Saccharomyces cerevisiae S288C: one gene and its partners. The gene in region 4 interacts genetically with the main gene of each other region. Each region holds a gene or a part of one and is shown on either strand. Other genes may lie near its edges.

The links.
Region 1: mutations in HXT9 (region 4) and ATF1 together harm fitness more than expected from each alone (negative genetic interaction), as found in Saccharomyces cerevisiae (one large-scale study listed by BioGRID).
Region 2: mutations in HXT9 (region 4) and SKN1 together harm fitness more than expected from each alone (negative genetic interaction), as found in Saccharomyces cerevisiae (one large-scale study listed by BioGRID).
Region 3: mutations in HXT9 (region 4) and XPT1 together harm fitness more than expected from each alone (negative genetic interaction), as found in Saccharomyces cerevisiae (one large-scale study listed by BioGRID).

The regions. Positions count from the first base shown.
Region 1 is NC_001147.6:1,044,287-1,048,362, reverse strand, and holds ATF1 (alcohol O-acetyltransferase), read right to left. Parts: upstream 2,138-4,076; coding exon 560-2,137; downstream 1-559. Other genes in the region: YOR376W-A (uncharacterized protein), read right to left, coding at 3,012-3,167. UniProt on the Saccharomyces cerevisiae protein: Major alcohol O-acetyltransferase that uses acetyl-CoA to synthesize acetate esters from various alcohols, producing ethyl acetate, isoamyl acetate, isobutyl acetate, butyl acetate, hexyl acetate, heptyl acetate and octyl acetate.
Region 2 is NC_001139.9:773,577-778,026, forward strand, and holds SKN1 (beta-glucan synthesis-associated protein SKN1), read left to right. Parts: upstream 1-1,616; coding exon 1,617-3,932; downstream 3,933-4,450. Other genes in the region: BTN2 (Btn2p), read left to right, coding at 1-110. UniProt on the Saccharomyces cerevisiae protein: Required for synthesis of the major beta-glucans of the yeast cell wall.
Region 3 is NC_001142.9:671,408-674,132, reverse strand, and holds XPT1 (xanthine phosphoribosyltransferase), read right to left. Parts: upstream 1,143-2,725; coding exon 513-1,142; downstream 1-512. Other genes in the region: SGM1 (Sgm1p), read left to right, coding at 1-404; NMD5 (Nmd5p), read right to left, coding at 1,465-2,725. UniProt on the Saccharomyces cerevisiae protein: May act as a xanthine phosphoribosyltransferase involved in the synthesis of purine nucleotides. Such activity is however unclear in vivo.
Region 4 is NC_001142.9:17,530-21,730, forward strand, and holds HXT9 (hexose transporter HXT9), read left to right. Parts: upstream 1-1,967; coding exon 1,968-3,671; downstream 3,672-4,201. Other genes in the region: oligo-1,6-glucosidase IMA4, read right to left, coding at 1-1,007. UniProt on the Saccharomyces cerevisiae protein: Probable glucose transporter.

The DNA of each region.
Region 1 (4,076 bases), on a different chromosome or scaffold from region 4:
TGCATTGGCCTTGTTGGTCTAGTGGTGTAGGCGCCCTTCAAAAGTTGCGTTTCTTGGGTGGGAGAAGTCCGAAAAATGCGTATCCGAGTGTACAACGGTTTTTTTTCAGGGACAATATGCCAAGGAATACCGTAAGCAACGGCTGCGCTAATACATCCATTAAAAATATCTCTCCTTGCTTAAGGTCTCACACCCAAAATGACAATGAGAGTGCTATTTTAGTTGTTCATCAATTTAGTATATACCAGCTCCCACAGGACGACGATTCTGACCCTTTCTATTTAAATAGCTCCTTACATCGAGAAGATCTCTGCAGCTAATCAAATCAATTAATATTTCAGATTTGTCGCGATTTTGAAATATATACTATAGGTTGTTATCTATCATATGCAATGTTCTGCACGTTATTTACTTCGATCTGATCTTAAATCAACTCTAAAAAAAGAAACCGATAAGTCCCTTTAACCAACCAAAGCCGAGGGAGTGACAACATGAAAGTGGGTTATTTACACGACATAATCATATTGTCGAATAATATCAGTCAAGCATCATGTGAGATCTAAGGGCCTAAAAGGAGAGCTTTGTAAATGGAGCAAAGCTCTTCGAGAGATTCTTGACTACCAACAACATTCTTTGTTGAAGCAACAACAATATTCATCCCCTTTACATTAGTCGAACAAACACCCAAGGAAAATGCTTGGTGCCAGGATCCTTGAAATTGGCCAAATGCCAAATCGCATATAGAATATTTGGCATCGGGCTCCTCTAACTGATTAAACAGACCTACATTGCTTAACAATGTACCTCCGCGTCTTTTCCCGATGGCACGATCGCACATTACCTTGTCAATGTTCACATATTTTTGAACGAAGCCTTGTATATTGAACCCTAAGCCATGGAGATGCTTTTTATTTCTTAAAGCTTCCGAAATTACTTCATGGTAGTGCTCAATAAGTGGCCAAAAATTTTCTTTGTTATCATTCATGTCAAATTCGCTTATCCAGGGGGTGAAGTCAATAAATCCAACGTTAGCGCCATATCTGTACATCTGTCTCATTTCATCATCATCTGGTAGTTGTGAGCGGCAATCTGCGGGGATAAAAATATCCGTAAGCCATTCGAAGTTCAATGGTTTGAAAAATTTACCCCATTTATGAAGAGATACAAACCAACAAACATGTAAAAACGGAGTGATAGTACACTTACCTTGGATATTTGATTTAATATTTGCTTTAATCGCTTGAAATTCTGTTGGTGAAATATTGATGATCTCGGTGACAACATCATCGGTTTTTTCCACATCATCCATTCTCATACAGACACCTTTTGAAGAAAATCTCAAATGATTGTAGATGAAACCCGAAAGAAGTGACTTCGGAATAAACAAGTACGGTGGTCTAAAGTCTATCACCTTTTCGATCGGTTCTGGAAGTTTCCTCAATAATTGGTAATCCTCCTCGTACTTGAAAATGTAATCTAATTTTTTTGGTGGAGTTTTAATATTATTTAATTCGTCTCTTAAATCATGAAAAAAGTGGATCGAAGACCGACCATCAGACATGCAATGATTAGATACAAAGATAAATTTTTTCCACTTTTCTGTGTGCTCTTCTGGAAGACAAATTAGCCGCCAACTCGGTCCTGTTGGTCCAAAGTAAGGAATAGTCAAAGTGGTAGTAAGTTTAAAAATTTTTGCAGTATAGGAACCCTTACTATTTTTGAATTCTTCTAATATTTGCTTCATTACTGCACTGTACTCAGGTTGTTCATTGAGAACCACACCACTCAGTTTCAATTCTTGTAATACTGAAATATAATCATGCACTGGATGTGGCCGTGAATAGTATTCGGAACTGCGATAATAATTTTCATGATTTGGCCATCTTGTTGGTAGAACAATATGTAAAAGAGTTGGATTTTTCAGGCAGATTTCCCTCAAAGCTAATGTGAGCTGATCCCTAGTACAGTAATCACTCAATTCTCCATATGTGCAGAAGTTTCGATATAAGTTTTGTCTGTTGAGAGCAACATACAGATCTTCAACAGATCCCATACGCCGAGCATGCCCATTCTGAATCATCTCTTTCAGGCATTCTTGTTGCACGGGGGCCTGATTTTTCTCATCGATTTCATTCATGAGAGCTGATAAATTGATGGTATTTGTGATACTGATGAAGTGCCGTTTTTTATTTTCTTGTCTCGAATTTTTGTTGGGTTGGCTTCAAAAAGACGCTTCCAGAGATCCATAAAAAACAATAGGATTATATTCAGAGTCCGCTCAACGCGATGACAATACCAGGCCAAAAAATGATGTGCGGCAAAAAATATAAAAACCGTAAATCGCAAGCCAATGAGTAGTCCTCACACGCTAGATCTATATATTCGGAAGTGAGAAGACCATCGAGTGCATTGAACCTTAGCTCAATGTCCAAAAAGTCAATTCTAAGGGTGGAATAGTCCTGTGCCAACAAATGAAGCTACAATTTTCTGCTGCCTGGGTCCATAAACCCTAACCTTACTTCTTTGCATTTCTTCGGTTTGCACGTGATCTCAATTGATAATTCCCAATTCTGATTTTACTTGTCAAGTACAAGTACTCTAACATAAGCTTACCACTTCTTAATTATCCGGGTGTCAGTTTATTTTATAAACACGGTAATATTTTGATAATCTTTGGCAACTTTTAGGAAATACTCCTTTACCTATATACATCGCGACCAAAATTAGCAATCTTTTACGATGAGTACCTCAGAAAATACTGTTGAATTCTTTCAAGGGGTAGCAAAACTGTCCAGAGCTTATATCTACCTGTGCTCAAAATACAGTTGAAACCACCTCTTCCTACAGTGGTATAACATATGAGAGAATAAGCTATTAACGGTTGGTCGTTAACACCTCAAAATTGTATATTCCTGTAGTTCACTGTCAGTAAACTGAGATTGTTTATTTGTGCCATTATACCAAATTTAGCACCCTATGTGGCAATTTTTCAGATTTGCCACGCTTTTGCTCTACTTAAATGGAATGCAACAACAAAACTTTGTTTTAGCATCGCGGGATTGAGGATGAAGAGAATACTTATGCATCTCGTCTTGAAATACTGTCGCCCAAACTTCTAAATACGCTTGATTATACCATAAAATTGTCCACCCAAGATGGAATGTCATTACAGGAATATTTATGGCTGTCCTCCTTATCTTCACATTTGAAGGGAGAAATAGAGGGGCGAAAAGAGAAACTATTCGCCGGAAACTTAACGGTAATATTATAGATGTGGGGCTTGCAGTTACCTTTTAGCACCCAACTATAAGTGTATCACACCATTATTAATGAGAAAGTCTTAACATTCCAGGAGGTACAAAATATGACAATCCTAGAAACTCTGTTTGCAGTGCAATGAGTCCAAATTTTTTTTTAACTAAGAGGATGCCTCCTTCGCAAACTGTATAGTTTTCCATTTTCTTCTGCCATTTCATCTTTGGAGTAACTATTATTTCGCCCCTTTTGTTTGCTGCATATCGCCCCGCTCTCTGCATACACGATTGGATAATGACCAAAGCAAGGTTTAATACGCCCACAGTTAGATATCTATAATTTTAGAGTACGATATTCATCATCATAGGCTGAACCTTGCCTTTCCTTGCATTCTTTATTCCCATTGAGGTATATTTTAAAATTTGTTCGGAGGTAAAGAAGGATAAGCTTTTCTAGTAATTTCCCTCCTCGATCGGCCTCAGATTTCCCGTCATAAAATATACGCGCCATGGAGAGATTTAATGACATAGATGTGCCGCAAAAGCATACACAGCGTATTTTCTTTGAGTATTTAATAGGTAAGCTAAGTTTCGTAGCTCGTTAGTAATATTACTCTATGGATTCTGTGCCACTTCTTCAAACAGGGCGCGAAAACCTTGAAGAAGCAGCGCACTTGATGCCCCTAGTGAGAGTCACGTGACGGTTATCCCATTTAAGGTATTCCTGTTGCGACCCCTCTCACACAGATATATCTTGCGGCTAGAGATAGGTTGTGATTAGGAATAGATCTGTAGATGTCTAGAGGAACGGCTAATGATTGG
Region 2 (4,450 bases), on a different chromosome or scaffold from region 4:
AAAAACACGCTTCACCCCTATTAGAAGACGTTGAGGATGAGGAAGTTGACAGATACAACGAGTCCCTAAGCAGATCTCCCAAGGGAAACTCTATTATTGAGGAGATATAATGGGTGATAATACATACTCCCCATCTTTCATTTTTACGGCATTAAATAACTAATTATATGCATCTTATATACTACTATAATTCACTGACTTTATGAAAGGAATATAAATCGGCACGGCAGAAGGCGGATTTATTTTGTTACAATATAACAAAATAAAAGGGCAACAGTAAAGTAGAAATTATTAGTATCCGTGATTTTAGTACAATTATTTGCTTCCTAGAAATCCGGTTTTCCATGTTAACATTTATGCTAGTATTTTATGGTGGAATGGCAAGTGATTCACAAAATACAAGCTACTTTATCGAATGATTGAAATTCATTTCTGCTTGAATAGAATTCAACTATCGTTTATCGATTCTATTTTGAGGATTCCTATACCCTCGAGGAGAACTTCTAGTATATTCTATATACCTAATATTACTACTGTTATTAACAATGGAATCCCAACAATTATCTCAAAATTCACCAATATCTCAATTCCATCTTTAGAAAAATTAAGTTCAAATTAACGGAAACAGTAATCAAGTAAAAGAGCTTTTTTTTTCTTCTCCCCTTCCTGCCCTGAAGATAATTGAGTAAATGTTACGTTGAGAATGGCTTTTTGATATTTCATTAGATTTACTTCATTATTCTTCTCTATTCTCCCCTTTCATCAATTAATTGGGCGTGTGGCGTAGTCGGTAGCGCGCTCCCTTAGCATGGGAGAGGTCTCCGGTTCGATTCCGGACTCGTCCAAATTTTTTTACTTTTAATGAGGTATACTGGAATATTACGGCTCTTTTTTTTTAGAAACATATTCCTCAAATGGGTAAACGGACCCTGGTGCAAGGTGTGGGTGCTGAGACAAATACGATCTGAGTTGTTTTAAAAAGGAAAACAAATGAATGCGTGCCCAAAGCGGAAAATTGGTCAACATCGATGCGTAATTAGTAGGCCCAGGTGAGCCTGTGCCGAACATGTATCTCTGCGCAGATTACTATATATTCCCGAGCATAACAGCATATAGTTTTCTTTCACATAGGCCTTCCTCCAACTGCCATCACTGTACATAGACGTTTCGGCACTGTATATTCTTGTCCCTTTTTTTTTGCCTACTACATTGCTGCATTCAAACGATATCGCTCTGCGAACCGTTTAAAACTGACCAAAATAGGGAGACCTACCTTCTAAGGAGAAAAAATTCGCATTGCTAAAAAAAAGCTAAAAGAGAAAGAGAAGAAGAATATTAAACCAGTATATTCTACTACAACTATCGATTTACTCCGACTACAAAGTGCCTCTTCGTATTTTCAGTCGCTCGAAAAAACAACCCATATTCCATTTGATTCTACGCAGCTGGTAGAAACTTTTACAGGTTTGATAAAATTATTACAATCGTTAGCGGTTACGCAAGGAATAGGAAATAAAGAAACGGTAAATAATAAGAAAAACACAGCAGATCTAAGCCTATTGCACACAGTATATTATAACCATTACTAGCTAGTGTTACATAAACAATAGCAGAATATGTCTGTGCGAAACCTCACCAATAATCGTCATTCCAACAGCGAAAATAGTGTTTCCGGAAGCGAAAACTCCTTTTATTCCTCGAATGAGCAATCAAGACAAAGCTCATCATTAGAACCTGCAGATGGTCAGAACGTTAGGGTGAGCGGTAATCCTTTCCTTGGAAGTGAAGAATTTGACGAAGATTATAATTCACCCAGTGGAGACGATGAGCGGCGTGGGGCAAATGAATATTCCAGTTCTTCATCCATAAATTATAATAACGATCCTAACAGCGATACTTCTCTTCTGGCTAATGAAAAGAACTCACCCGAGAGAAATGGTCAAAGAATGTCAGACTATAAGGGCTATTATGCTAAGACTAACCTAACTTCTGCTAATAACTTAAACAATCATAATAACAATAATTATAAGAACATTATAAGCAGTAGTAACGATAATAGTTTTGCATCACATTTACAGCCGCCGGACAGAAACTTACCGTCTCATCCTTCTTCAAATAATATGAGTAGCTTTTCTAACAACAGCTTAATTAAGTCTCCACCACCTTTTGACAGATATCCGCTAGTAGGAACGAGGCATATTTCAGCGGCTCAATCTCAGTCGCAGAACCTTATAAATGAAAAGAAAAGAGCGAATATGACTGGCTCATCTTCTTCTGCTCACGACTCTTCATTATCATCCACCAACTTATACATGGGCGAACAGGATTTTTCGCCCTTTGGCGGTTATCCAGCTTCCTTCTTTCCGTTAACGTTGGACGAAAAGGAAGACGATGACTACATTCATAATCCAAATGTCGAGGAAGAAGCAAAGTTAGATAGAAGGAGGTTCGTTGACGACTTCAAACACATGGATAGAAGATCTTTCTTGGGGCTTCTGGGTATTCTATTTTTATTTATGGCTGGTATATTTATTTTCATTGTATTACCTGCAATTACATTTTCCGGGGTAGTTTATCATCATGAACATGTTCATGCGGCAAATTCAGCAGGATCGTCGTCTTCTAATACTACATCCAAGTCATTGACTGAATATCAATATCCTCAACTTGCGGCTATAAGGACAACTTTAGTTGATCCAGACACACCTGACAGTGCGAAGACAAGAGTAGCGAAAGATGGATCTAAATGGCAGCTGGTGTTTTCCGATGAATTTAATGCTGAAGGTAGGACCTTTTACGATGGCGATGACCAGTTTTGGACAGCTCCTGACATCCACTACGACGCTACGAAAGATCTTGAATGGTACTCACCAGATGCCGTTACAACTACAAATGGTACCTTGACGTTGAGAATGGATGCATTCAGAAACCATGACCTTTATTACAGATCTGGTATGGTACAGAGCTGGAACAAACTCTGCTTTACAGAAGGTGCGTTAGAAGTTTCCGCGAACCTCCCTAATTATGGTCGAGTTACAGGATTATGGCCTGGTATGTGGACCATGGGGAACTTGGGCAGACCAGGTTATTTGGCGAGTACTCAAGGTGTTTGGCCTTATTCATATGAAGCATGTGACGCTGGTATAACACCAAACCAAAGTTCCCCAGATGGTATTTCTTACTTGCCGGGACAAAAGTTGAGTGTTTGTACTTGTGATAATGAGGATCATCCAAATCAGGGAGTTGGAAGAGGCGCACCGGAAATAGATATTTTAGAAGGTGAAGCTGATACAATTTTGGGTGTTGGTGTTGCGTCACAATCTCTACAAATTGCTCCATTTGATATATGGTACATGCCCGATTATGACTTCATCGAAGTTTATAATTTCACCACAACAACTATGAATACTTACGCTGGTGGGCCTTTTCAACAAGCTGTCTCAGCAATATCCACTTTAAATGTAACATGGTATGAATTTGGGGAGGAAGCAGGTTATTTTCAAAAGTATGCCATTGAATATCTCAATGATGACGACAACGGATATATTCGTTGGTTTGTGGGAGAGAACCCTACTTTCACACTATATGCTACTTCTTTACATCCTAGTGGTAATATTGACTGGAGGAGAATAAGTAAGGAGCCAATGTCAGCGATTTTAAACTTAGGTATTTCCAACAACTGGGCCTATATCGACTGGCAATATATATTTTTCCCGGTGACAATGTCAATAGATTACGTCCGATTATACCAGCCGAAGGGTTCTACGTCCATTACTTGTGATCCTGAGGACTACCCGACATATGATTATATCCAAAGCCATCTAAATGCATATTATAACGCCAATTTAACTGATTGGGAACAGGCTGGATATACTTTCCCAAAAAATATTCTAACAGGAGGTTGTAGTAGTTCAAAATTCTCATTATCCTGAGGTTGATTTTTTTTTTTCAACTGGTTAAAACCTACTATCTAAGTGCGCTTTAATTCTAAGGAGGCAAAATAGTCTGCGGTCACAGTCGTTGAAAGTTCTAGATTTGGGTACGGAAGCAGCCATGTAAATGGTCTTCCTTTGTAATAATATCATCACTGGAGTTTTTAAATTAGAGTACGGATTCAAGTTAGCGAAAAATTTCTGTTGGTATCTGATAGCAATTTGTCGACAAGGTGGAGAGTTTTTGAAGTTTTTTTTTGTAACAGTTATGTTACACTATTTACCAGAGAAACACCAAGACAGGAGCCCTCAGAAGCTTTCGTGTTGTCAGAACATAAATATCTTCTATATGTTTTAATCTTTTATATTAATCAATATTTTATGTTAAATCATATTATTATTCGTTAATGGTTAACTTGCGCTATTTCAAAATTGGAAGGATAGTGTGGTTACAAGCGGTGTTTTTGATGTATGTTTACTGCTAAGAGTATACCGTCCTGTTTACTTTTTTACCTTTT
Region 3 (2,725 bases), 650 kb from region 4:
ACACATCAATACCATACAGAAGAGCTAGCGTCCAGCTATCGAATTCTAACGGCCACATAAGCGCTCATCTGGTGAACAAGTTAAGTACGGAGTTAAAAAGATTGGAAGGTGAATTATCAGCATCAAAGGAATTATACGATAATTTACTGAAAGAAAAGACAAAAGCAAATGATGAGATTTTAAGACTTCTGGAAGAAAACGATAAATTCAATGAGGTAAATAAACAGAAAGATGATCTCTTAAAAAGAGTTGAGCAGATGCAAAGTAAATTGGAAACCTCCTTACAACTATTAGGTGAAAAGACTGAACAAGTGGAGGAATTAGAAAATGATGTGTCCGATTTAAAAGAGATGATGCATCAACAAGTTCAACAAATGGTAGAAATGCAAGGAAAAATGAGATAACTAGAAATACACTCTTATCTTTAGATTTAGGTTAAATATGAAATAATTACCAATGATAACTATATGTATCTATATACATGCAACCCCATCGCAACATACTGTTTGTCATCAGTCATGACCTTGAGCCTTAGCGAGCATGGTATGTTCTTCGATATCTTCAGCGTCCCATGGATAGCACAACCACTTATCAGGGACAGTTTGCGCAGCAATGTAACGTCCAGAATTCATCATGGAGTCAGGTAGTCCAGCTCTCTTTGGTTTGTCCTTATTATGTAGAACAAAGATAGAAATAACGGTTTCCTCACTCATTCTATTCAAAACCTTTTGTTGTTCAGCAATCTCTTTTTCCAGCTCAGAAACAGCATAGTGGAGGGTAGTTCTAGTATCGTCAACTTCATCCACAATTAGGACCTTTTTACCAATTAAGGAATCGAAATGTTGGTTCAAAGCACCGAAGTCCAGCCATTGTGTTCTGATGACCTCTTTGCCGATAGTTTCGACGCTATTATCCAACCCTAAATCTTCATACAAAGATAGGCCGATGGCCTGAATCGGAATATTCTTTTGTCCTTTAGTTTTCAAAAAGGACCTAATAATTCTTGCGGGGATCATACCACCACCAGTGATGGCGATAATAATATCAGGTCTTTCGTTTCTAGCTAAGATATGTTTAGCCACTCCCTGACAAAGCTTGTGAATATTATTATAGGAGATGTACATTCTCTCATTTTCGGCCATCTTGGTACAAGTATATTTTGAAGTGATCAATGTTTATGAAATCTAGTACAAGGATGGGCTATGCAAAAGAAAGACTGACAAAACTCAGATATTTTTCTTTCCGATTTAACTACGATTCTTTCCCCAGCTTAGAGATAAAAAAAGCTTGTGATTTTTTTAGGTTCATCGCATTGACTCCAGATAAAAAAAAAAGATCTTGATATCAAATCAAAGTCAACTGGCCGAGGCAAAGGCAACAAACTTTGAGCATAATATCCTCTCTCTTCTATCTAAATTATGTAATCCAGTGTTTGTTTCAATATACAATCGCCATTTAATTCAATTAGGCATTCATAATTCCCATGAATAGTTCTTGATCAGCCGGGGTCAGATGTCTCAAGATTCCCTGATATCTATTGCTGTCAACATGTTGTAAGTTCGCAATGGACTCCTTGAAAACCTTGTATACGTCAACTGTGTCCAGGATCGACCCCGTTAATGGGTCCTCTTCTAGGTCATCGAAAGTTTCCTTTGCGTCATAACCATCTACGAAGTCCAAGGAATCGGCTCTATTTTTTATCAGTTCCAGATATTTCTCAGTAAGGTCTCCCTCGTCATCATTTTCATCATCGTCTCCAACGTCAAGAAAATTTTCATCCCACTTAGTATCCTCTTCAAAACCGGATGATGAGAATTCCTTGCGTTGGTTAGCTAATTGCCTTAACGCCGTTGGTAGCCTCGAAGCTAACTGCGTAACAATACTCCCTAATTGCGGAACCAAATTTTCTAAGTTCAACACTGAATAATCGTTGCTTTCTAACTTCAGTATAATTTTTAATAACGCAAGAACTGATAATTTGATATCATAGCACCTTTTATAATTCGGAATATAGTCTGTAATCCACGTTTGAAAGAAGATTTCAAGACAACCTTGCTGTTTCAGGTACTGAAGCGTGATCAAAGGCTCTGTTATCATATTTGAGATTACGACATTAAAAGCAGTCACACTAAATACAACATTAGTTTTCAATTCATTCTTTTGCGTTAGAATAGAGCCGACAACATCCGCCAGTAGGCGCTCTCTGTATTGTTGAGGTAAACTGTCATCTAATGCAAGAACCAACTCTTGGGATAAATCAAAAACCACTCTAAGATCGTCTAACGAATTATCTTCTGCAGTAACAGCCTTTTGATATATTTCGAATATGATTTTTGTGTAAAACTCGTTCTTCTTTAATTCGTTCCTTCCATAAATGAGGATATTATTTAAGGCTAGCATGAAATCACTTAAATAATAAGATACCATACTATCTGGTTTTCTATTACATTCTCCAATCAGCTCCAAAATTTTCCAGCTGATGGGTGTGATATCTCTTAGTAGGAATGTAGAGTTCTCTACAAATTCGCAACATTCGCGATAGAAATCTTCGATGTCGTTTTTCAAAATAAACTCTGCAGCTGGATAAAATGACTGTTCCAAGTTTTTTAAAATTTCAGGTGAATTCTCAAAAGACAACAGAATAGATATCGTAGTCGACAAAATACCTAGCGCCGCCATTTGCTTGTCAGATTCATCGGGTATGCTATCAACGTTCGTGAAGGAA
Region 4 (4,201 bases):
TATCTGAAAAGTTCAGCAAGGGCAACCTTCCAATCCTTTAGTTCATATGGTATCAAATTTTGACGGAACTTGGGCGAAGTCCCGACATCAGTGTGGGAAAAGTTGAATAACTCACTAAGTTCGTGTCTTGACGCACTTGTATACAACCTCTTGGTCTCATCAGTAGCATGTCGCATTTCACCAACTGTCATAATTTCTCTGCCATCCTTCACTCTGTTTCTGATGAACTTGTTCATTTCTTGATGAAACTCATGGATACGTGGTCCGTTCATTGTGAAAGGATCACTGAGTTGCCACTTTGAGTTTTCGTCAATCACAGGAGCGTCTGGTAGACCAGCAACCTTGGAGTACAAGCTTCCCACATCAATTCTAAAGCCGTCTACACCATGGTCTAACCAGTATCCAACGGCACTTTCGTAGATTGCCTTTCTGCAGTCTTCGTTCTCCCAGTTTAGATCAGGTTGGGTGGAGCAAAACAAACGCAAGTAAAACTCTTGTGTCTTTTCATCGAACGTCCATGCAGAACCACCGAAGTAAGACCTCCAATTGTTTGGAGGAATTGGCTTGCCTTCGGCGTCATAACCCTTAGGAGGTCTCCAGAAGAACCAGTCACGTTTTGGATTGGTTTTTGAGGATCTGCTCTCTTTGAACCATTCATGTTCGCTGGAGCAATGGTTGATGACTAAGTCGGTGATAAATTTCATACCAAGCTTATGTGTCTTTTCGATCAAGGCAAAGCAGTCCTCGTTCGTACCGTAGGTTGGCCAGACCTTTTCGTAGTTGGCAATATCGTAACCCATATCATCTTGTGGCGAGTCGTAAAATGGCGAGATCCAAATGGCATCGGTACCAAGCTCTTTGATGTACTCCAACTTGGAGGCAATACCCTTCATATCACCCCAACCATCGTTGTTGGAGTCTTTGAAACTTGCGGGATAAATTTGATAAATTGTGGCCTCTTTCCACCACTTGGGTTCTGTTTCTGGATGTGCAGAAGAAATAGTCATTGTACGTTGCTTTCTTATCTCTATGAAAAAACTTTCACTTTTGTTTGTGTGTTTGGATTGGTGAATGGAACATATATTCTAGTACAGCTAATTCCTCGAGTGAAGAAGTCTTCCTTACTTATATATGTCTGTGGACGTCTTACGAATGATCGAAAATAAGAAAAGAACAAAGTAAATTTAGGATCTGGAAGGAGTGCTGTATGTAAACGAAGCTTTCAGTTTTAGGTAATGTTTGCACAACCTACATGATATAAGATGGTATGTTCTGCAACAGCGTGCCTGTCACTTGGCCCGTTATAGCAGATTATACCATCTGCAAGCAGACCCCATTATTGCATTGCCTCCGCAGCCTTGCGTATACATAGCCCTAAGACAAAATACGGAGCGTAAACAACCCTCGATCCCCGCAACAATTACATAACCATTTCTCCGCGGAATTACATAATCATTTCTCCGGGAAAATTACATAATCATTTCTCCGTGCGAGTTATAAGTGCTTTTCTCGTGCATTTCCCTGACACTTCACAAAACCTTCTTTTTCTTTTTTCTTTATTTCAGGGGAAATCAGTGCAAAACTAAAAAGAAAGAAATTTTGTGAAATGTAAACTCCAGGTGTCAAAAAATAAATTATATCCGTGGAAAATCAGGCGTCGGAAATTGTAGATGAATCCGCCTCCTCCACAATAAAAATGCTGACCACACGAGCAATGCATACACTCGGACACCTTCGTTCAAAGTATCAGTAGCAGTTCGACACACCCTATACTACTTAGCTCTTAAGGTCTAGGCTCATCTTTCTCAGTTCCTCTTTTTCGCTAAATAAAGGTATATAATGTCACAGCTGTGTAACTAAAGAACACTGTTGTTCCTATCTTTTTCTTCTTCTTTTTTTGGTATGAGTTGGAAAAAATAATCATTGCACAATTGAGTACTAAAAGCTTTCGTATCTTACCCAATATCATGTCCGGTGTTAATAATACATCCGCAAATGATTTATCCACTACCGAGTCTAACTCTAACTCAGTAGCAAATGCACCATCTGTAAAAACTGAGCATAATGACTCTAAAAACTCCCTCAACCTGGATGCCACTGAACCACCTATTGACTTACCTCAAAAACCCCTCTCTGCATATACCACCGTCGCAATCCTGTGTTTGATGATTGCATTTGGCGGCTTCATCTTTGGTTGGGATACCGGTACCATTTCTGGTTTTGTTAACCTTTCTGATTTCATCAGAAGGTTCGGTCAAAAAAATGACAAGGGAACCTACTACTTATCGAAAGTAAGAATGGGTTTGATCGTCTCAATATTCAACATTGGCTGCGCCATAGGCGGAATTGTCTTGTCAAAAGTCGGTGATATATATGGTCGTCGTATTGGATTGATTACAGTTACTGCCATTTACGTTGTAGGCATCCTAATCCAAATAACTTCCATAAACAAGTGGTACCAATACTTCATTGGAAGAATTATTTCTGGCCTAGGAGTGGGAGGCATTGCTGTCCTTTCCCCAATGTTGATATCTGAAGTTGCTCCCAAACAAATCAGAGGAACCCTGGTCCAATTGTACCAGCTGATGTGTACGATGGGTATTTTTCTAGGATACTGTACCAATTACGGTACCAAGAACTATCACAACGCCACTCAATGGAGAGTCGGCCTTGGTCTTTGCTTTGCCTGGACTACATTCATGGTTAGTGGAATGATGTTTGTACCAGAATCACCACGTTACCTGATTGAGGTTGGTAAAGATGAGGAAGCGAAACGTTCACTTTCGAAATCCAACAAAGTCTCAGTCGACGATCCAGCCTTGTTAGCAGAATATGACACTATAAAGGCGGGAATCGAACTTGAAAAGCTGGCAGGTAACGCATCATGGTCTGAACTACTCTCCACTAAAACAAAGGTCTTTCAGCGTGTTCTCATGGGAGTGATGATCCAATCGCTGCAGCAATTAACCGGTGATAACTACTTCTTTTACTACGGCACCACCATCTTCAAATCTGTCGGTCTAAAGGACTCCTTTCAGACTTCGATCATTATCGGTGTGGTTAATTTTTTCTCTTCATTCATAGCGGTATACACCATTGAGAGGTTTGGACGCCGTACGTGTCTATTGTGGGGTGCTGCTTCTATGCTATGCTGCTTTGCTGTGTTTGCCTCCGTCGGTGTGACAAAGTTGTGGCCTCAAGGAAGCAGTCACCAAGACATTACTTCTCAGGGCGCCGGTAACTGTATGATTGTGTTTACTATGTTCTTCATTTTTTCGTTCGCCACCACTTGGGCAGGCGGCTGTTACGTTATTGTCTCAGAGACGTTTCCTCTTAGGGTCAAATCAAGAGGAATGGCAATCGCAACAGCTGCAAACTGGATGTGGGGTTTCCTGATTAGTTTCTTTACCCCATTCATTACCGGGGCAATCAACTTTTACTACGGTTATGTATTCTTAGGCTGTCTGGTTTTTGCATACTTTTATGTCTTTTTCTTTGTCCCAGAAACAAAAGGCCTGACGCTGGAGGAGGTGAATACTATGTGGCTGGAAGGTGTGCCAGCATGGAAATCAGCCTCATGGGTGCCACCAGAAAGAAGAACCGCAGATTACGATGCTGACGCCATAGACCATGACGATAGACCAATCTACAAGAGGTTCTTTTCCAGCTAATCTTCCGGTTTTTAGTAACTGGAAAAAAATACATGAACTTAATTATTTATTATATACAATATTTACTTTTTTACGCCTTAATCCTTAACGGACTATTTGTTATGCCTTATAGAACTAGAAATTATATGATAAACATGAGCTACACGAGTTGACAGGGTGAACAGATTACTATAGCATCTTTCTCTCATGAATAATTTTTAAAATGTATAAATTTTGTAACGTTCCGAAGGGTGGAGTGAAATTCCATTCAAGAAACCAAGCATTGAGACAGAACAGTACAGAGTTCAGTTGTTGCGGACCGAGAATTGTAACAAGTAGCCCCAGAAACATTCATATGACGTCTGTTTCAAATTAAGCTTAGTAAAAGTACACATTTACCATAAAAAAATAGTACCAAGTCGGTGGCCTGATATCCTTATTTTCCTTCTGCCAATTGGGCAAGTTGGTACTAATATTTTAGGTGACACTGCCACTTTATTGTTATGGATTGAAATTTCTTAAATGTTCTCACAATCGGCCATAACGCTATT